4 linked regions of the Schizosaccharomyces pombe genome follow. The protein of the gene in region 4 purifies or fractionates together with the protein of the main gene of each other region. This does not show direct contact. Each region holds a gene or a part of one and is shown on either strand. Other genes may lie near its edges.

The links.
Region 1: the proteins of ada1 (region 4) and sgf11 purify together in Schizosaccharomyces pombe (affinity purification with mass spectrometry, with the first as the bait; one study listed by BioGRID). This does not show direct contact.
Region 2: the proteins of ada1 (region 4) and taf9 purify together in Schizosaccharomyces pombe (affinity purification with mass spectrometry, with the first as the bait; one study listed by BioGRID). This does not show direct contact.
Region 3: the proteins of ada1 (region 4) and ubp8 purify together in Schizosaccharomyces pombe (affinity purification with mass spectrometry, with the first as the bait; one study listed by BioGRID). This does not show direct contact.

Annotation. Positions count from the first base shown.
Region 1 is NC_003424.3:1,370,447-1,375,097, reverse strand, and holds sgf11 (SAGA complex deubiquitinating submodule subunit Sgf11), read left to right. Parts: upstream 1-2,627; 5' UTR 2,628-2,790; coding exon 2,791-2,817; exon of another isoform or gene 2,818-3,053; coding exon 3,054-3,380; 3' UTR 3,381-3,424; exon of another isoform or gene 3,425-3,477; 3' UTR 3,478-3,620; downstream 3,621-4,651. Other genes in the region: F-box/WD repeat-containing protein Pof1, read left to right, coding at 215-2,032; mug10 (Rho guanine nucleotide exchange factor), read right to left, coding at 3,822-4,640.
Region 2 is NC_003424.3:335,683-340,543, forward strand, and holds taf9 (SAGA complex/transcription factor TFIID complex subunit Taf9), read left to right. Parts: upstream 1-2,619; 5' UTR 2,620-2,709; coding exon 2,710-3,201; 3' UTR 3,202-4,081; downstream 4,082-4,861. Other genes in the region: cpn1 (caprin), read left to right, coding at 1-263; rcl1 (rRNA processing protein), read left to right, coding at 746-1,837; protein Mcp60, read right to left, coding at 4,425-4,861. UniProt on the Schizosaccharomyces pombe protein: Functions as a component of both the DNA-binding general transcription initiation factor complex TFIID and the transcription coactivator SAGA complex.
Region 3 is NC_003424.3:578,109-583,580, reverse strand, and holds ubp8 (SAGA complex ubiquitin Ubp8), read left to right. Parts: upstream 1-2,100; 5' UTR 2,101-2,190; coding exon 2,191-2,286; intron 2,287-2,364; coding exon 2,365-2,497; intron 2,498-2,597; coding exon 2,598-3,285; intron 3,286-3,330; coding exon 3,331-3,628; intron 3,629-3,632; exon of another isoform or gene 3,633-3,681; coding exon 3,682-3,746; exon of another isoform or gene 3,747-3,791; coding exon 3,792-3,861; 3' UTR 3,862-4,228; downstream 4,229-5,472. Other genes in the region: ysp2 (peptidase family M17 cytoplasmic leucyl aminopeptidase yspII (LAP yspII)), read right to left, coding at 1-1,089; protein Mcp7, read right to left, coding at 4,334-4,900, 4,995-5,060. UniProt on the Schizosaccharomyces pombe protein: Histone deubiquitinating enzyme component of the transcription coactivator SAGA complex. SAGA acts as a general cofactor required for essentially all RNA polymerase II transcription.
Region 4 is NC_003423.3:377,787-384,296, reverse strand, and holds ada1 (adenosine deaminase Ada1), read right to left. Parts: upstream 3,998-6,510; 5' UTR 3,908-3,997; coding exon 3,737-3,907; exon of another isoform or gene 3,674-3,736; coding exon 1,349-3,673; 3' UTR 997-1,348; downstream 1-996. Other genes in the region: tim11 (F0-ATPase subunit E), read left to right, coding at 337-357, 423-594, 685-770; SPOM_SPBC106.03 (steroid dehydrogenase), read right to left, coding at 4,597-5,670. UniProt on the Schizosaccharomyces pombe protein: AMP deaminase plays a critical role in energy metabolism.

The sequences.
Region 1 (4,651 bases), on a different chromosome or scaffold from region 4:
AGTTTTCTCCTTTTTTTTTGTATTACTATAGTCTTTTATACTACTATCATCTTATCCAAATCATTTCTGGTTTCATTCTGTTAACATCTACCCGCATCATCCGTGATAACATTTTTTTGTGCTATTATCCACTCTATTTTTTTTTACCCTAAAATCAACCTTTGCATTGTCCCTTCTTTCTTTTCATACTTAATATTTAACCTTTATAAAAAAAATGACTACAGGTTATGAATCTGTTCCCACTTCCGAACCCTCTGATAATCTTGCACCACGAGCAGAGCTATGGCAACGCCATTTACTGGAAAAAAAAGAAGGTGATCAATCCATCTCCGTTTCGGCTTTTAATATTTCTTCAATGCATAATGAATTGTCTGGTTTAAGCGAAAAAAGTCGTCAACGTGTCGAAGCTGTATGGGCTGCTTTTTCAGAGGCTTCTTGCAGCGAACGTAAACTCGCTTTGCAAGGCATTTTAAACAACTGTTCGTCCTCTCTTCTCTCTTTTGCCTCCAGCACATTAGATTCTCTAGTACGCTTAGATTTTCTCTCTTTGCTCCCTGTTGAAATTTCGTTTCGCATTTTATCTTTTTTGGATGCTAGAAGCCTTTGCCAAGCTGCACAAGTCAGTAAACATTGGAAAGAACTTGCTGATGATGATGTTATATGGCATCGGATGTGTGAACAACATATTAATCGAAAATGTGAAAAATGCGGCTGGGGACTTCCGTTACTCGAAAGAAATACCTTATACGCAGCAAAGGCTTCCATACAAAAACGTTATGAACGACTTACAAAAAGAGGCGTCGATCAGGCTCATGAATCTTCACCCGTCAAAAAAGCAAAGCTGGACGATTATCCGACGTCGAGTAATGAAGAGACTATTTCTTCTGTCAAACCACCTTCTCCGAACTCCGATTCCAAATTCTTTCTTCCCTTTAAAACCAGACCATGGAAAGAAGTATATGCTGAACGTTGTAGAGTTGAATGCAACTGGCGGCATGGTCGTTGTCGCCAGGTTGTTCTCAGTGGCCACTCTGACGGTGTTATGTGTCTACAACTTGTAAGGAACATTCTTGCTAGCGGCAGTTATGATGCCACTATACGATTATGGAATCTTGCTACCTTTCAACAAGTTGCTCTATTAGAAGGTCATAGCAGTGGTGTTACGTGCCTTCAATTCGATCAGTGTAAACTTATCAGCGGTTCAATGGACAAAACTATTCGTATATGGAACTACAGAACCTCTGAATGCATTTCTATTTTACATGGTCATACGGATAGTGTTTTATGCTTAACGTTTGACTCTACGCTACTTGTTTCTGGAAGCGCAGATTGTACAGTTAAGCTGTGGCACTTTTCTGGCGGTAAGCGTATCACTTTACGCGGTCACACAGGACCTGTCAATTCTGTCCGCATAATTAGAGATCGTGGACTTGTTCTTTCCGGTTCCGACGATTCCACCATCAAGATTTGGTCTTTGGAAACAAACACGTGTCTTCATACTTTCAGTGCTCATATTGGCCCTGTCCAGAGTTTAGCTCTTGCTGATTCGCGATTGTTTTCTTGCTCATTGGACGGCACAATAAAGCAATGGGACATCGAGAAGAAAAAATGTGTTCATACATTGTTTGGACACATTGAAGGTGTATGGGAAATTGCGGCAGATCACCTTCGTTTAATCTCGGGAGCTCATGATGGTGTTGTTAAAGTTTGGGAGGCTTGTGAATGTGTTCACACGTTGAAGAATCACTCGGAGCCTGTAACCTCGGTTGCTCTTGGAGACTGTGAGGTAGTCAGTGGGTCTGAAGATGGGAAAATATATTTGTGGCTTTTCAATAATGCTCCAAATGAATCTCCAGTATCTACACAATCTGTTCCGATATCTTCCCTTAATGGTCAAAGGTCAAATTCAAGTGTGCAACGAGCTCTTTCTTCAGTACCCAACTACTCATCCTCGTTATCCAATATCTCAACCAGAAATTTAAATATCCCACCCTCTAATGCCAATAATGACGATGTGTCGATTCAATCGTAGTTACCCCAACATCGCATCGCCTTTTTGTTTGTGTCTATTTCTTTTTTTCTTCGGCATTTCGCTTGTATATCCTTCATTTTTCATCATTCGAAGCTATGTCTTTATTTATTGCTCGGGTTGCCAAAATGCCATATCTAAATTTGGCTCTTTTTTGGTAACAAACACTTTGTCTATAATCAAAAACTACTTCTAATATCCTTGCCTGTATTGTATTATTTAAATCATTTGAGATTGATGGCATCCCGGCATACAGTTTAGCCTTTTGCTTAATTTACTAGCGAATTATTTTATGACTTTTAACATTTTATGTATTTAATGAATACAATTTATCCTTAGTCGAGCTGAAGAATGTATGATTTGATGAATTGTAAAAGGGAGAAACTTAGGTACTATGTTGTAGGCGTTGTTTTTTCCAATTGCGCAAGTGGATTACTGATATTTTATTTCATGAGCGTGTGTATTTTGCATTGCTCTTGGAGTCAGAGAAGTATGAAATTAGCAAATTATATCAACACTCACTATTAGCAAATAAAGTCAGCTCCTACGCAAGCTAAAGATGTAACACCAAGTATTTGAGCCTAATAATTTTTATAATAAAGACATCAATTTGAAGCACTTCCGTTCTGTAAATCTCAATTTCCCATACGGATCAGTTGCATCTTTTTCCTCATTGTTTGAAATTTTGGAATCACCGGCTTTGTAACAATACTAACTTGCTTGGAATACTCAACTTTTGATTCCCAAAGAATGGTTTAAAGATGCAGCCTGCTTCTCTTGCCGGTATTGTAAGTACCTGATTTCTCTATGTGTAATTGTTTTTCCTTTCAAAATTAAACTTCCTCGCCAAAAAAAGATTTGCTTGTTTATGAAAGCATGTATCATTTAATCGATCGCGGTTTATTTAACATGTCAAATTGTAGTACTTTAAAGACAAAAGGAAGATTAATAGAAAAACAATTGTCAATAGGTGGCTGAATTTAACACTTGTACAACTTTTTCACTAACTTCAAATTTCAATCAGTCTTGCACTATATTTGAGAATTTGTTGAAAGACTACACCCATGAATTGACCCAAACAGTCCACAAGAATGCTAAATTATCTCTTCAAAAATGTCCGGCCTGTAACAAGCATTGTCGGCAGTATTGTACCAAGCCAGGCTACGATATATATGGTAATAGCGTCCAAACTCCTTCAAATGTCCCTTATTATTCTTGTTTAATGTGCAAGCGTGAAATAGCTGCGTCTCGATATGCTGCACATTTAGAGAAATGTAAAGGCAGGTCACTTTCAAACGCTACCTCGTACTCAACTCTTTTCGAAGATGACAATGCAGACGAAGAGGACTAGTTTTATTTGTTGCTTGTTTTAAGGTTTATTCTCATTATGCACATGTATGTCTTTCCCAGTAAGACGAACTACAATATTATTTTGCTAACTTGTGTAGCTAGTTATTAAACTCATATATAGTAGACTCTCACTTCAATAAAAAGACGAGGAATTGTAAACAAGAATTACCAATAAATATTATTAAAGGATAAAGATATTATTTAAACTATTTGGTTAATAATAATGCCCATATTAAGGTAACGAAGGTGAGAAGTAAATTTTTAATTGAGGAAAATATCTTTCAAAGTTGGTAAGACAAGGATAACAAGAATGAAGAAGTAAGTTGACAATAAATTTTGGTTTAACATATTTGTCATTATGTTCAGCAAATTTTAGGTAACGAGTGAATAATAGAAAAAAAATATCGTTTAATATTAAAAAAAGAAAAAGAAAGAAATTAGTTTATGTTTTAGCATTGACAACTTTCAATCGGTTTAATTTATTTTCTTTGCCATTTGAGATACCAGCTCTTTCATGATACCACTTAAGAAAAACAGAAGCAGCCATAGTTTGAGGTGCCAAATGACGGTTTAAAAGCTTCCCCTTCATATTTAAAGTACAAACTAAAATAGAGTTTGAAAGTTCATCTACTCGAAGACATTGTTCTATCGAAACGGCCTTCATTTCGATTTTTTTAACATACCTCGTCCAAACAACCAATCCATCGTCGCAAAAGACGCAGGCATTAAAATCATAAATAAATGAAGTAGCTGGAATAACTGACCCTTTAAATTTTATATGCCTTGGAATGTCCACCGCAACACCCTGGTTTCCACACAGTGCACTAAGTACTTGATAACTTTCCTCGCGGGCTTTTTCTTGGTCTATATAAGAACATAACTCTCGAAAATCGTCAAGTGTTTTGACCGCCATCCGAAAATCTCCATTCAAAAATGGATATTTCCGTAACATTTTACAAACACGTGCTAAATGTATAGGATATCTCAACAAGTGTTGCAATGGAATTAAAAGCTGACTGTTGCACGAAGAAGGATCAGAAATTATTTTTTCAATGGCAGATATTCCACTTAAATTGATGGTATACATGTGGTAAACATCACGAAAAGCGGGTAAAGATTGCGACAATGAATATACTGGAGAGCCACTGGAAATCATTTGTTGATATAACTTCGTGTGTAACTGATTTAAAGTCTTAAAGCACGTGCAAATTCCAATCGCCTCCCTTTCCATACTTTGGCCTTCGATTGGCATTATAATTTCCTAAAATGTAA
Region 2 (4,861 bases), on a different chromosome or scaffold from region 4:
AAGCAGCTGATCCTAGCAATGGAGTCGTAGATGGAACACCCAAATTAAATTCCAATACCAGAGGATCTTCAAAACGCCCTTCTGTCAACCGTTCCCAAGGAAGTGGTCAACGTGGTCGAGGTGGACGAGGATTTTATCGCGGAGGTCGTGGCCGTGGAGGATTTTTTAATCGCTCAAAGCGAGGTCAGTATTCCAACAGTAATAACTCAACCTCGCAACCTAGTCCTAACGCTGAGCTATCCAATTTCAATCCCGTAGCCTAAAACGCTTTTACCGCATATATTAACGTTTCACTTTTTTAATGTTTCAGAGGTTTTTGTATCATTCTTTCCTCTAGTGTTCTCTGGCATTTTAAAAAAGTATTTATATATTACCAAAACTCTCAAAGCATAAAATCAATCATCGTTTTATTGCTTTTTATGTTCTAGAAATAAAATTACTTGATTTTATTAATGTGTTAAATATTATATAAGAAAGTATATTTCTTTCTTTTAGTAGTAAAAACAGTTAATTTTTTAAAAAATACAGTACTTTTTTTATTGTTTACATTTATTTAGTAAACAAGTAGCTTTACGGTTACCACGGCAACTCCTAGCTGAGAGGTCAATTCTACCTCTTGCGCTGTAGAAATTCTTTTACCAAAACTAAAAATTTCCTGTAAAGGAATTGAAATATCAAAGTCTCGAAAAACGCGTTTTTAAAATAATTCGGGGCTTTGCATTCATTTTGAATTGTTAAACTCGTGATGTCAACCGGTCAGCTCAAACGCTTTAAAGGATGTGAGTATTTGACGCATCGGTTAGTCCTTGCAACTCTCTCGGGAACTCCGATTCGAGTTGAAGGAATTTACCCAGATGAAGCCGATCCTGGTGTCAAAGATTACCAGGTTTCGTTTTTAAGGCTGTTGGAGAAGTTGACCAATGGCAGTGTCATAGAAATTTCTTACACAGGTACTTCGTTCATATATCGCCCAGGAAATATTATAGGAGGTCGTGTAGTCCATGATTGTCCAACTACCAAAGGGATAGGCTATTTTTTGGAACCAATTCTAATACTTTGTCTTTTTGCAAAAACCCCTACTTCACTTACTCTTACTGGAGTTACTTCCAGTAATGAAGATATTGGTGTCGATGTTTTGCGCACTAGTGTATTACCCTCTCTTCAAAAGCGTTTTCAAGTTGGTGATGAACTTGAGTTGCGCATATTAAAGCGTGGTTCTGCTCCTGGCGGAGGAGGTGAAGTGAATTTTTTATGTCCTGTAATTAAAGAGTCTTTACCTCCCATTCGTCTCTCAGAATTTGGAAGAGTCTTCCGAATCAGAGGAATTGCTTCTTCAACTAGAGTATCTCCCGCTTTTGCAAATCGCTTAGTAGAATCTGCTCGCGGAGTTTTAAATCCTTTTATACCCGATGTTTTCATTTATACAGACGTTCGCCGTGGAGATGAATGTGGTAACAGTCCTGGGTATTCTATCACTTTAGTTGCAGAAACTAATAAGGGTTGCTCTTATGCTGCCGAGCATTGTGGTGAAGCTGGAGAAACACCAGAAGATGTTGGTTCCTTTTGCGCAAAGAAATTATTGGAAGTTATTGAATCTGGTGGTTGTGTAGATCCATATACACAACCTTCAACTTTAACCGGGATGCTACTATCCTCTGAAGACGTTAACACAATAGTTGTGGGTCAACTTGGTATTACTTCGCAATTAGTTGTTTTTCTTCGGGATGTGAAGGCACTTTTCAATTGCGAATATAGATTTAAAGAGCTCGAATCAGGCCAGGTGGAGATGTCATGCTTAGGAAAAGGATATTTAAATGTCAATCGCCGCATTCAATAGAAAACCATTTATCAGTGGGTCCTTTGCTCGTTTATTCTTCTTAAACATCATAACATTACATTTAACATATTGTTCGGGTACTTAAAATGAACGAACGTCTTTTTGATATATATTTACTCTTTAATCGTACTAAGAAGTTCATTACCCATTAACTTCCCATTGCAATTACGACATGAGTATAAAAAAAAAGCACCATACATATTTAGAGATTTAAATACGTTTTTGTGACTCAGTTGTTTTAACGGTCTTGTTATGTTCATTTTCAATTATGGTTTGAATTTTTTTGGTTTCCTTTAAATTACTTGGTTCTGTTTCTACTTCATTCTGCTTTAATATTTCTTTCCCGATGCCTCTTTTTCAGAAAATTAGTTCTTAGATGCTCTTCTCATTTGAAAATCTCAACCTTTTTCCATGTCCTTTTGTAAAAAAAAAACACTGCCAATTTTTAGTAAATTTGTATCATCATTGATTTTGTATGAATGATCCTGTTCGTTTTATTATTTACTAAATGAGAGTTTTTACTTTACGCTGCTTATACTAAAATTTTATGTAACTTCTAAATTATTAACATTGGTGATACTAAAAGCAACTTTGATAGGAATTGCTTTAATGAAATCATTCCTTCTGCATAAATTAAAGTTTGCTTAGATAAATTTTTATGACTCGAAATATTTAGTAATGTATATGTAAAATAGCATTGTTGTAAACTTTCTGAAACAAGCTATTTAGTGGTGTGCAGTGGACTCACGCTAACTTCTGAGTGGATACAATTTGCAACGCTCGCAACGACCATAAATCTTTTTGGGTGGTAAAACAGAAAAATAACGGGAGTCGTATTTGTCTTCGCATATACTTATAGTATTTAATAAATCATGAGTTCTCCAGGAATAAGTGATGAATCTATAAAAGGACCTAAGGACGTTCGTCTGATTCATCTAATACTTAGCTCTCTGGGTGTTCCATCATACTCTCAAACAGTGCCTTTGCAGTTGTTAACATTTGCACATAGATATACACAGCAGTTAATCCAGGATTCACAGGTTTATGCGGAACATTCACGTGGGCAAAATGCTCCAATTTCTGTAGAAGATGTACGTTTAGCTGTTGCTTCTCAAATCAATCACTCCTTCACTGGACCTCCACCAAAAGAATTTTTACTAGAGCTTGCTATGGAGAGAAATCGAAAACCTTTACCCCAAATTCAGCCGTCTTATGGGTTTCGTCTTCCACCGGAGAAGTACTGTTTAACTCAACCCAACTGGATTGTCAGTAATGAAACCCAACAGAATCAACCAAAGGAAGAGAACTCCTCGGATTCACGAATGGAGGAGGATAAACTTGACTTCTCTGTGAAGTCTGAATAAATTTATTTTCCTTTTAAAGTTGTTACTAATGCCGGGGAAGTGCTGATGATTTAGATATATGTAAATATTTTTGAAGCGCTCACGAATCTTTGCAGCAGATGATTATGGTTTTATTTATATGATTTTGTTCCTCCAGAACTTCCTATTTAACTTGCGAAAGCAGGGCGTGGGTAATAAATCGTTTACAGTTATAAGGTACCTGTTTATTTGTTTATTTGCTACGAAATCAGTGTATGGAGCAAAAAAGTATACAACATTTTTAAATTCAGCTCATATTGTACATTACTGTACACTGTATCTTTTATATATGGTACGACATAGAATAGAAAAAAGTGAAAGAGACGGCAACAACATCAGTGACGGCGCGCTTTTTCTTAAAATGTTACAAAAACTGGAGTAATTCATGTAAGGCTGTGAAATTGGCATGAGCTCGTCGAGAGCTTTCTTCAACTACTAGGCTCATTTAAAATTTACACCGCACCAATGTTTCTTTATTACTTACAATTGCCTCTCATCATAACTTTGAAAATACAATTTACCACAATACTAGTGATAACATAATATCATGCATTTTAATTTTCTTTATATGACCTATACAGATCCCCTAAAAAGAATATAGTAGGGATACTCGCACGACAGCTAAAAATATATAAGTTATATAATAATTTTGAATCAGAAGGAAGGCAACGGAAATATCCACACATTTTTTGCGCTCTCGGACATATATTTCATCCGCGTTATTTTCATCATTTTCAAAATCATTTATCTCTCACATACTTCAACCATTTCAAAGCTCACCACAAACCTGTATAGGAAATATAAAGAAACTTGATGCTTTACGTAAACACAATTCAGAACTTACAAAAACACAAAAGTGAAAACTTGGTATTTAAGTCGAAAGTCATACCATTCGTAAAAAGAGTGAAATTATAATGTGTAATAAACACAAGGTAAAACATTATGTTCATTAAACAAAATCAGGAGTTTGATTGTACAATTAGCAACCATATGAGAATAGCCGAATGAAAAGTTTCAAAACAATAAGTATCCATTAACAGAAGTATGACCCATTAACTAGTTTTGAAACTAAAGAATTTTACGAAGGTCAACAACATAATGCAAAATTAAAGCCAATTTCTCTGAATGGATTTAAATCATCATAATCATAAGCTTTTAATAAATTGTAAAAATTTAAAAAACCACGTCGGCATTTTTTTGATACCTTACATCATACCGGGCATTCCACCCATGCCACCCATTCCGGGAGGACCAGCAGGGGCCTTGGACTCTTCAGGAGCATCGACGATGGCACATTCGGTGGTACCCATTAATGAGGCGACTCCACTAGCATCAACTAAACCGGTACGTACGACCTTTAGGGGATCCAAAACACCAATTTCATTTAAATCAACAAAACGATCCTTAGCAATATCATAACCGATGTTAAATTCCTTGCCATAAAGCTCCTTAAGTTTACCAACAATCAAGTTACCCTCTAATCCAGCATTTTCAAGAATGGTTTGAGCGGGACGAGTGATAGCTTTGCGAACAATTTCGACGCCAAGCTTTTGATCAAAGTTATTTGTAGGAATGTCTCCTAAGCGAAGACTAGCCTTAACAAAAGAGGTACCAGCACCTGGGAGAACACCCTCGGAAACAG
Region 3 (5,472 bases), on a different chromosome or scaffold from region 4:
AGCGTCAGTGTTATCAATTTCTACACTAAGACCGTTGCGCATAAAAATAACATCTCCTGGCTTAGCAGCAGAGCCAGAAGGAAGATTCTCAGTTAAAGGGGTAACAAACACGGCATTCACGGGGATGGAAAGTTGTTCCAAGGCATAAATAGAGGAAAGCATAACAGCAGCACCACCCATATCAGCACGCATCTCCTTCATGTTTTGAGAAGGCTTGATACTGATACCACCGCTGTCAAACGTTACACCTTTTCCAACTAAACCAAGCCATCCATCATCTTTTGATTTTTCTTTACCAATGTATTGTACTTCTAAGAAACGAGGTGGAATATCGGAACCAGCATTCACGGTAAGTAAACCGTTCATCTTTTGCTCATCAATCCACTTCTCATCGTGAACGAATACTTTAACCTTTGAGGAATTTTGGAATAACTCTTGAGCAAAATGACAAAATTGAAGAGAAGTCATGTAATTAGCAGGACATTCCATAAGAGAACGAGCCAAGTTTTGAGCAGCTGCTTCAATCAAACCTACCTTAAAAGCATTCTCCTCTGCGGTTGCAGTTTTCTTCTCAGATGTGTTGCTAAGCAATTGGAAAGTTAACCTTTCAGGAGCAGGAGAGGTAAATAAATTTTCCTTTTCAACCACCTTTTCATCTTGATAGACGCTCAAATGGTCTCTACGAAGAGAAAAATCGTACGTGGCCAAGGCAGCACCCAAGGCAGCATCCTTGGGAAAACCCATACCATCGACAGCTATCGACTTTGCACCATTCGACTTTAAAATCTTAGCTGCCTCTGCAGCAGCTGAACGAACGGACTTTTCAGAAACGTTTTCTTCAAGCTGGACTATGGCAAGACGAACAAAACCCTGAGTGTTCCAAAAGAGACGAATGTCATTTTTTTTGGGAGATGTTTCAAAATACTGGTCAACAACTTGTCGATAATCTTCAGAAAAAACTTGTTTATCGTGACGAACAGCCAAAATCAAGGAATCGGCTTTTGTAGTAGCTAAAGGAATTCTTGGTAAAAGAATGGAAGAAAGTGAGCTCCAATTAAAGGTTCTCGTACTTAGACCTAAACCCTTCATTGTACGTAAGAAAAAAAGCTTTGCTTGTATCTTTGATTTCTCTTGATTTAGAAAACTTAATTAGACACTTGTAATCAAAAAAAAGGTAAAGGATTACGGATTATTATAAGTTCAATGAGAGTTGGATATTCGAAAATCGTTAACTCGTGAAACTACGAATACACGTAAATTCAGTATGCAAAAATAAAATACGATGTCCGATTGCAGATTGGGCAAGGGCAAGTGTACTTAACATAGTCTAGTGTGTTATTGAGTAGACAAGATCAACATTGTGATGGAAAAATACATTCAACAAGGCTAGACATAAAAAAGAAAAAGCACCAAAGGATTTTATTTCTTGATCAAAAACCAATTTTTAAGTAAGTCACACTCATTTGCTACATATATATTTGAACTTCTGCAGACGTATTGTTGCCCTACAATCTCTATTTAGGGTAACACAAACTGTTTCGGCACAAAAATCTGCCCCTAGTCAATTGTTAAGTAATAAATTCTATACAAATGTAATAGACAAAAATTTTCGTACATGTACCTGCTTGCAGTGACTCGGTTGTATTACAAAGATGCTCACGGTAAATAGTCATATATGGTTTTATATTTAGCCCTGCAAACGTTTCATGGCAACAAACATAAGCGTACACTTAAACACGTTCGACGTTAATAGAGGCATTAGTCTAATTTGACCAAGCTTTTAAAAAATTAACAATTTCATCTATTCAACCGTGATTAAAGGACTAGCAGTAATTTTTTTTATTTTGCAGTGACTCAACAGCCAAATCTATGGGAATTTACCAAGTTTATGTTTTAAAGAGGAAAACCAAGGACACTCAAGAACTACGAAGAACATCTATTTTGGTGTTTTATCAATTGACTTAGCGTAGCTATGATAGCTCTTTATACGAAATCGGTATCTAGTAGTGCAGACACTATGAGTACTTTATGGCTCTTAACGCTGTACACCGCATCCTTAATTGCCCAAATTTAAGCAAAGAGAAATAATGTTCTTTTGCCAGAATAGCGAGTTCGTCTATTGTTGTCGTTTCACCCTGCATCGAAGCAGATGCTTTTTAGTCTGAAAGGCCAATTTTGTACGTATCAAGGATGCCTGGGGATGTAGAAGGTTGCCAGCATCTTAAACTTAAACCGGCGGATGTTGAAAACTATCAAAAGATCTGTACCCAGATATTCAGTTGTCATGTAAGGCTTGTGAACAACACTTCATACAGTTCAATTTTCTTTTTCCATTCGATTCCTTTTAACATTTCTTTCATTTAGTTTGTCCCACGTCGCTGCAGTACTTGCAAACGCATCAACAAGCGGAGTATTCGATGCTTGAGTTGTCATTCTGTGGGATGTCTTTGGGGACATCATGGTGAAGAACACGCAATGGAGCACACTCATATGATCGGTACGTTTAGTTGAAAACATAGCTATTGATTTAGCAACGAAACCTTTTTGCGAATATCGAGTTAGGATGCAATTCCCGAATACCAATTACTAATTCTTAGGCGTGGATGTAAAAAATGGCCATACCTACTGCTTTGGCTGTCAAGACTACGTTTATCAGACCGAGTTGGAAACCCTTCGTTTTAAGATCAAGAATATCAAGGCATGGCAAAGTGATCACAAGAGACTTCCCGAGAAGTACAATCAAATGGTTTGCTTAGAAGCCTATCGAAAATACCCTCCAGTTTGCGCAACAGCAGGCTTGAGGGGGATCCAGAACTTGGGTGCTACTTGTTTCATGAGCGTCATTTTACAAAGTATTTTGCATAATCCATTGGTTCGAAACTTGTTTTTCAGTGGGTTTCATACTTCTACTGATTGTAAGCGACCTACTTGCATGACTTGTGCCATTGACGATATGTTTTCATCTATTTATAATTCTAAAAACAAATCTACTTTTTACGGTCCCACTGCTGTCTTAAATCTTATGTGGAAACTCAGCAAATCTTTATGTGGTTACTCCCAGCAAGATGGCCACGAATTTTTTGTATACTTGCTGGACCAAATGCATACGGAAAGCGGAGGAGGAACATCAATGCCGTGCACTTGTCCTATTCATCGTATTTTTAGTGGATCTCTGAAAAACGTTGTTACATGCCTAGATTGCAAGAAGGAGCGGGTGGCTGTGGATCCTTTGATGGACATTAGTTTAGACATCAATGAGCCAACACTTCAAGGATGTTTGGAAAGGTAAAATTTGCTCGTTTTTAGATTTTTTAACAAATATTATTTTAGGTTTGTTTCCAAAGAGAAAGTTCAATATAGCTGTCATAGTTGCGGGTCAAAAAATGCTATTAAACAATTGGTCTTTGACAAACTACCTCCAACTATTTGCATGCAATTGAAACGATTTGAACAAAATAACTTTGCCATGTCAACTAAAATAGATAAGCAAGTATCTTATCCAGCATTTTTAAGAATGCGCTACAACTTTAATCAAGATGATGTGGATTATCAATTATACTCAGTTGTGTGTCATAAAGGAACTCTCGACACAGGGCACTATATTGCCTATACATACTACCAAAATCAAGTATATTAAATTTTTTTTGAATTTTTTATGGAAATTTTTACTAATTTTTGTAGTGGTTTTTGCTGGATGACACCACAATTGTGGAAGTAAAGGAATCGGAGGTCTTAAATTCTCAAGCGTAGGCTCTTTGCTGTTATTTTTTTACATACTAACCAGATTATAGTTACCTATTATTTTACCATGAGCGTCAAATCCTATACAGTGATGAAATGACTGTTAAAACGGAAAATTGAGTTAGATTATGCGATCAGATATCCGTTCATGAACAATCATTATGAACCATGTAAAGTAATTGACTCAAAGGTTCCTTATTTATGTGGTTATGAAACATCATCACTTCGATAATCTAACTCATGAAGAAGCTTTTAGATTTCATATTGTTGAGGCCAGAAATGGCATTGGATTTGGAACCGTTACAACAGTCGCATTTTAATTAATGACCTTACGTAAATTTATAAAAAAAGTTAAAACTATAAAAAAAGAAACATGCTTTTTTTCTTTCAAAGTTAACAAATACTATAAGTTTGAGGAATTTGGACTTTTGTTTTGTTTCGTTTAATATTATTCCAACTAATTATAATTTTATCTTTTAAAAGCTAAGTCTTGTCGTCGAGTAAGCTATTTTATATGTAACTGTTAAAATGTATAAAATTTTAAAATATTAATAAGGAAAACAACTCTTTGAATTAAGGAAGCATGTCAAGTTCACAAAATCGGTAGTTGCAGATCGTCCAAATCCTCTGGAATGCTGCAATACTCACGAATTTGATTGGTATCGGCACCCATGTCTCGACAAAAAGCTATCAAAGTATGGATTTGATCGGTCCACAAATTGGCAGCTTCCATGTACTTTTTAGTATTCTCATTTTTTAATTCAAAGGTTTCAGGATTACAGTGATTTAAATTTGAAAGTTGTGTTTTAAGAAGTTTTAGTTCTGATTCTTTTGCATGTAGCAGTTCCAAAGTGTATTGATTGGCATCATTTTCGGTTCCTTCGTTATCCCTTTTGGATTTCTCGAAACTAATGTTTTCATCTAAAGTTTTAGATTTTTGTTTCAAATCATCAAGTTGAGCTTGAAGAGATCCGAGAACTGACTCTCTTGAACGTTTAGCATCGGAGGGAAAAGACCAGTAGTAATTGCTAGTGCCAATCTTTTCCGTTTTGACGATATTGTCGTCAACGAGAGACTGTAAAACGTCCTTTACAGTTTGCAAAACGATTTGCTTTTTAGAGCCCAGCTTTTCCACCTCCTTTAGTTGAAAAAAATCTTTCTATAAAAAAAACATAGATTAGCAATGTGGAAAGTGAGACACGAATGGGCAAAAATCATGTTTTGGCACTTGAACAATCATATCACGAACTTACAGAGTCATGGAAAATGGCCTCTAATCTTCTTCTTTTCTCTGCAAGCGATAGTCCCTTGGGAGGCATTGTTTAAAAATTTATTAATTAGTTTGAACAAATATGGAGTTTAAAAGTTTGTTGTGATGCAAGAAGTAGATGCTTTCTAATCTTTTGGAGAAATGAGAGTTTAGATCCCAAACATTTACTGAATGATAACGTAGTCTGCTAAAATGCACATCCGCACTTTCCAACTATGATATATACCCTATAATGTCTTACTATCGTATTGCAACATAATGCAATGCAAAACGTTATTCAGCTATCCTAATCTTTTTGACCCTTGAGGAAATTAAGGAATTAAGTGAATGGGGTTGGCTATTGTCGCACAAAAACATGTGAGGAAAACTTCCTTTTGCCACGAAATCGAAAAGACTCGAATACTGATAGCAGCATGATTTTTTTTTTCTCAAGAGCTTTTGTCGGCGCTCACCTTACTGTA
Region 4 (6,510 bases):
CTACTTCGTTTGCTTTACCTTGGGACTTCTTCGTGCACTGTAAACTACTGTACTCGAAGTTTTGTTATTGTATACAATTTAATGTGTCGTAACGTGTTAATGCTATCTTTGTTTTCGAAATGGATCAAGCACTGGTAGCAGCTTCAATACCGCGGAGTAATTAAGAATACGGTAAAGCGTTTGCTGAAATATTTTAAAAAAACCTTTATTAGAATGTTAAACTAATACTAAACGTTGCACTATTCGTGTTAAGTGTTTAGAGTTCGATTGTGCTCGGATGCAAAATGAACTTGAACACTCCCCACTCTTTTACAAAAGTGATATAACGCTCTAAAAATGAATTCCATAAACGTAAAGGTATCCTCTAATGAATTAGTTTCACGAAATATCCATGTGTATTTTTAACCATCTCTAACGAATAGACATTACGCTGGTCAGCCCTCGTCCTTGGCTTAGGTGCTGGAATGTACGAGCATAGGAGTCATATTCAATGTCAAAAGCAGAAGGAGATTGATGAGAACTATCACCGACAAGAATCCTTGATTGAATCTGCCAAAATTGCATATCTCAATACTAAAAACACTCCTCCTAAAGGTTAGTTTCTTTGCATCTCAACGAGTTTAACGAACTTTGGCGGGTGCAATAGTACTCATTTTTTTTTCGCTTTACTAATACTCAATTTAGAAGACTCTATGTTGCCTAATTTGAAGAAAGATTCAGAAGATTTCGATATGGATGAATTTGTCAAAGAACTTGAAAAAAATGTTTAAATTCATCCTCTTGAACCACGAATGGGTAACCCTTATCACACTACAAATCGATATACTAAACTAGTTTGTTTATTTTTGTGTGCACTTTTGGTGCGATTAGTATTTGCTGATTGTCCGCGTCAACTGATTAATCAATTTAACGTTTTGCTTAAGTTATTACTAAATTCGAATTGTAACATGGTAACTTATCTTACTTTACTCACTTTATTATAATGAAGATGATCCACATGATTTGTTTTTTTGAGAATTAATTCTCTATAAGTATTCCATTAAATAGACTTGTAAGCTTTTTTCATACCATTTTAGTTCACATGGATATCATTATCTATTTAAATATGTATAGTAAACATTCATTCCAAAAAAAAAAAAAGACAGGAAAGAAAAGGAGGTAATATATATGTTATATATATTTTTATGGGTTATTTAACATAACAAGAACAAATATCGTTCTAAAACAGAATGCACAATTATCAAAGGTATCAAAGGTATATTGCCTTCCCCAAATGTTTCAATACATCAAAGTTGCATGAAAAAAAAAGCAAAAGTAAAATAAACGAAAGCGGTTCATAATAGAAACCTTAATCTTTCAAATCTTGGCTACTGCTAGCCATGCTATCCTTACGTCGACGACGCTCTGAAATCACACTTAGTCCAGGGAAAAAGGCACCATGGTCATGACCATCATGAAGAGACAATCTACTGCTTATTGTAGCGTCGTTCGTACGAGGAGAAGCCGACAAAGGGTCGCTAGTACCAGTCATAGCATCATATTTATGGATCAATTCCTCCAAATCATGGTTTGAAGGGTGCTTGGATGGTTGGACATGCTTGTTCACTAACGCAATTTCTTGTGTCAAAGTCAAAGCACGATAAGCCAGGCGAATTATAGGTACATTAGTACGATCAATATCCTGAAAATCAACACCCAACCAACGTTCTTTAAGCTGACGTTCGAAACCGGATTGTAAAACACTGTTTCTAGCCAATTCGCACATATCGACAGCAGAGAGCTTATAAATTTGTGCGGCTACAGCATATTCCTCAATCAGAGGCTCTCGGGTAAATGCAAATTGTAAAGGATCATCAGTGGAAAGACTAACATTAAGACCTCGTTTGAAGTACGTCAAAAATGGATTCTTATCATATGCAAGAAACAGTGCATTGTTTGATAATGGAGACATTGCGATAGGGATCTGATCAAGGTACCAAAGATACTGAAGAAAAGGAACTTTTCGTAATAAAATACCATGGTTAATACCGTGACTTAATAAGAAAGCACTGGCCAAATGATCCGTATCTCCAGCTTCACCACAATGAGGACGAAGGACAAAGGTGTTAAAACCACGTATTTTTCTCCAGCTATTCAAGCTAGTCATGTTGGCATACATGTAATATAACCAATAACTATATGGAGGATTTAAATTAATATCCCAATGTTTCGGATAAGGGAATTTGCGAAAGGTACGGCGTTCAGGTTTACTTTCGTCGTCAACAGAGTCAAACCCGATAACACGTTGCAAAAACACGTGGAGTTTAGGATGTGTACGAGGATCCTTTGTAACTTCGAACAGTGGTTCAAAGACATTTCTGACGACCTCTTCAAAAGTCTCAACAATACCGGACTTCTTATACACATCATACAAACGAGGTACTTGAATAAGCCAACGAACGTTGGGAGAAAAAAGTTCGTTATCAATAATCCAGGCTGCAAGCTTATCCCATTCTTCACGATTCCGTCCATAGATAGAAATACGATATTCAGCCATTTGGTACTTTTGAGTTCTAAGGTCGGTGAACACCTCTTTGGTAAGTTCAGCAAGATATCGACCGTTAATATCATTATCGGTTTTCAGGAAAATAGTACGCAAACGAGATTCACCAATTGGATTATATTTCAAGTTAAATTTGTCAAATCGGTGAAAGGTGTCAGTATGAGCATGCATATCCAACGTGTCTATACTAAGGTCATACGAAGTCAACTTCAACGAATCAAATACTTCTTGTAAAGTCAGGAATTTGCCATCACGCCAGATAACTTTTTCATTAGGGCATTTACGAAGTTTAGCTTTGATAAATCGCAAGAGATGTTTTTGATTCGCAAGAGCAGAATGATGGACGTGAGTATCTACCTTACGTACATTGTAAAAATCACGATGGGGTACTTTTTTGGTATCTGCCAGCTCTTGATACTCGTTTAGCAGCATATACATATTCCAGCGTCCTTCTAGATACTGCAATCTACGGAAGGAAAATGATTTACTAGGACCATCCGATGAAGCCGAAAGAAGGAATTCTAAATCTATATAATAATCGCGGATAGTAGGAATATGAAAAGACGGTGTCCCCGCAATGTATGCGCTGTCATTCTCATAAACTTGAAATATACCTTGATGATCCATGTGATATTCCATTTCATTTTCAATTCCAGGAATTTTGCAATCAGCAAAATTAAACAAGCCCGTATCATCTTCACCTTCTTTGCAATCAGGGTATATAATCCATGAATCATCGTCAATGGGATTGTCAAGCTCACCCTGTAAGCTCACCCTAATATATTTGTGTCGCATGTCCATACATTTATGGATTGACAAATAAATTTCTGCCAATTCATCAGAGAAAAGAGGGTCAGTCGTTTCCATGTTTCCTGGATCGGTTTCAGGGCCACCAACACTAGAAACTACAGCATTGTCTCCCTGCTGCACATGGGGCATATGAATGCTACTTATTTTGCTTTGAAGCGTATCATTCAAAAGCTTTCCACTTCCAGGACCAGCTTTACTATGGTTTACATCATCACTATTCCTTACTGTGCTAGCCGAGACTGATGGTCGTCTTGGGCTTTTAGAGGGCAGTCCATCCCGACCGTTTTGTGTTCCATTCATAGCCAGAAATTTAGCATCTTGCTAGGTTATGGTTAGTTAAACACGTAATATATCGAATTGGGGGGTTTTCACTTAAATACTTACATGTCTTAAAGAGCGCTCATAAGCATAATCAAAATAAGGAGTGTCTTGAGACGAAGGCGCTGCTGCAACTTCTTCGTCTCGATTAGCACCAGGATTCGTTACATATCGTTTTAAAGGAACAGTTTCAGCTGCAACAGCTGGGACTTGATCATCTTCTTGTTCCATGTTCATTTCAGCTCTAAAAATTAGAATAAAAAAGAATCCCAAAAATTGGCCTCTTCAAGAAGAATGCGACGAAAACAACACCTTTTTGAGAGGAGCGCGTGCACTTGCGGGTGAAGAGCCGTTTATATACGGAAGTAAACCACATAGTGAGAGAGGACGTACAGACATTATGTTGTTTAACGAAATAGAGCGATGATTTATTGAGGCAAACAAAATTAAGGGCAATTGAAATGTTTAGAATTCTGGCCAAACTGAATTTGTTTAAATCGAATGATTTTTAATATTTTCATTCAATAAATTAAAGAGAAAATTGACACTCATTTTACGAGTAACTTTTGTTTTTACGGTTTCAGTAGCGATCAATATACATCCTATCTTTTGTATCACTTGCACATTTAAGTAGACAATACAATTTGAAATCGAAATTGTAGCAATAGTACGAACGGTAAAATAACCTATAAACCATTTTACTTAAGTTCGCTCTGAGGAAAAGAGCTTAACAGTTACTAGATTTCGCTTTACACCTCGAGCGTAAAAAAAATAGAAACAAAAATAATTGAAAAAACTCAAGCAAAAGATATGGATATCAATGACATCTTTTCATAGCATCATTATCATTATACCAAACCATGATAGACATGGGATGAGTTCAATTTGACAAGGAAACAGAGAGAACTGAGGCTCCATACAAGTATTTAGCTGCGCTTAATAAGACTGCAGGAAAAGAAGTGAAATTTTCCAAACAAGGAGAAAATCCCATCAATAACACACGTAGGAAGGAACCGTGATACTGTGACCATGAAAAAGGTGCGACAACCAACATGGCGAGTTGGAGAGGGCCAGCAACCAAGCAAGGAGTCAAAAATTTTGTTTAGAACCTTACGTTCCGTACACAACGAAGGAGGATAATTGCTTTTACCTGGAGAGCTAGAATGATCGTAATTCAAAAAGCTGAGATTTCCAAGTTTGATACAAATAACCTGTAAGCCCGTTTCACGCTTGAGAGTGCGCAAGAAAGTTTCAATGGAAGAAGAAAGAATAGATGGAACAGCATAATTGGGAGGCTCATAAGCGGATAATATACCATGAGACAAGCCAATGATTCTGGCCTTTTGACTTTTCAAAAGAGGAATCATTCGAGAAACGTTAGAGAAAGATTCACTGAGTTGTTGAAAAGCACTGATCCAAGCATCTTTTCCAATGTTCTCAATTGGAGTGTACAAAGAATCTCCTGTGGGAACGAGAATAAGACCACGTAGGCGCAAAGCATACTCCTTAGGGCCAGATTGATTGGAAAAAGACAAAAGGAAGCGTTCAACAGCCTCATTATGAGTAACAATCAAAGATTGAATGTAAGGGCGTTGTTGGAGAGAAACAGTAGCTGCTTCAGATGCATCGCGAACAAGAACAACGACGATAAAACCACGACGATCCAAATCGTGAGCAATTACTGAGGCGAGAGGGTTCCACGCAGATAAGACAACAACTTGGGTTTTTTGGTGGTTGGGTGCACGTGGAGCACGACGCTTGCGTACATAATCATAGCGTTTGTAATAGGATAATCCAGCAAGGAACAAAGCGGCCGATCCTAAGCCAACTGATACTCTATTTTGATAAAGAAATTCTCCCAATCTTCCCTTGGCACTGTTTGTAGTATGAACTGTAACAGGTTGAGGGTTACTAGTTTTTTCATGAGCATAGTCAATGATTCGCTTGCCGTAATCCTTAACATTAGAGACTAAATCGGCAGCCCAGCGTTCAGGATTCATTTTTTAATGTTATTCTACCTTTTTGATATGATAATTCGTTTTCGTAGCAATTGGATTAGATTTCCAGGCAAAAAAACACTTCAATTTTCTCCCTGATATAATGTTTGAAGAAGGAAACAATGCAGGATGAAATTGAAAAATATTTAGCAATTTCAACAATAAATACTATCACTTGAGGAATTCACAAGTAATACTTCAAAAAGCTAAAGAATTCTAAAACTTGGAATTAATGAAGTGGTGAGTGGTGGTTGAGAACAGGTCGCGAATATTGGAAAACACCATGATGTCGTGCTAACTTGATCCTAAATCGCAATTCTATTTTATGGCAGTAAAGATGATTCAAATCGAATGCAAGTTTTAATATTGAAAGTTTATCGAAGTTAATCTCACATCAGGCTAATAGGAAGCTATGTTGCTAAAAACATATTGTAAGTAAATGATAGTATCTGTTCATAAAAGGTTTGATGTTTTGCGGGAATTGAGCGATGGCATTATAAAAAAATGAGGATTAATGGCTTTAGAGATTGACTAATGGGAAGGATAAAGGATACCAAGGATATGAGAGAACGGATGGATGATTAGTATTTATTATGAAATTCGCGTTTTCATTGTAGATGAGAAGTCCGATTGAAGTATTGACCTTACTTCTCTAAAGCATGTACATATGAAAGGATCATTGTGATCTGTTTGCTCAAAAAACTTTAAGAATTGTATTAAAACCTTGCTACTCTTTAAAAGTTTTTATGTGTACCATAGTTCTTGTAATTGTCTCAACAATTGTAAAAAAAAGAACAGCCTTTCATTTGTCGCTCAGTCCTTCTTTAAATTGAAATGTTATTC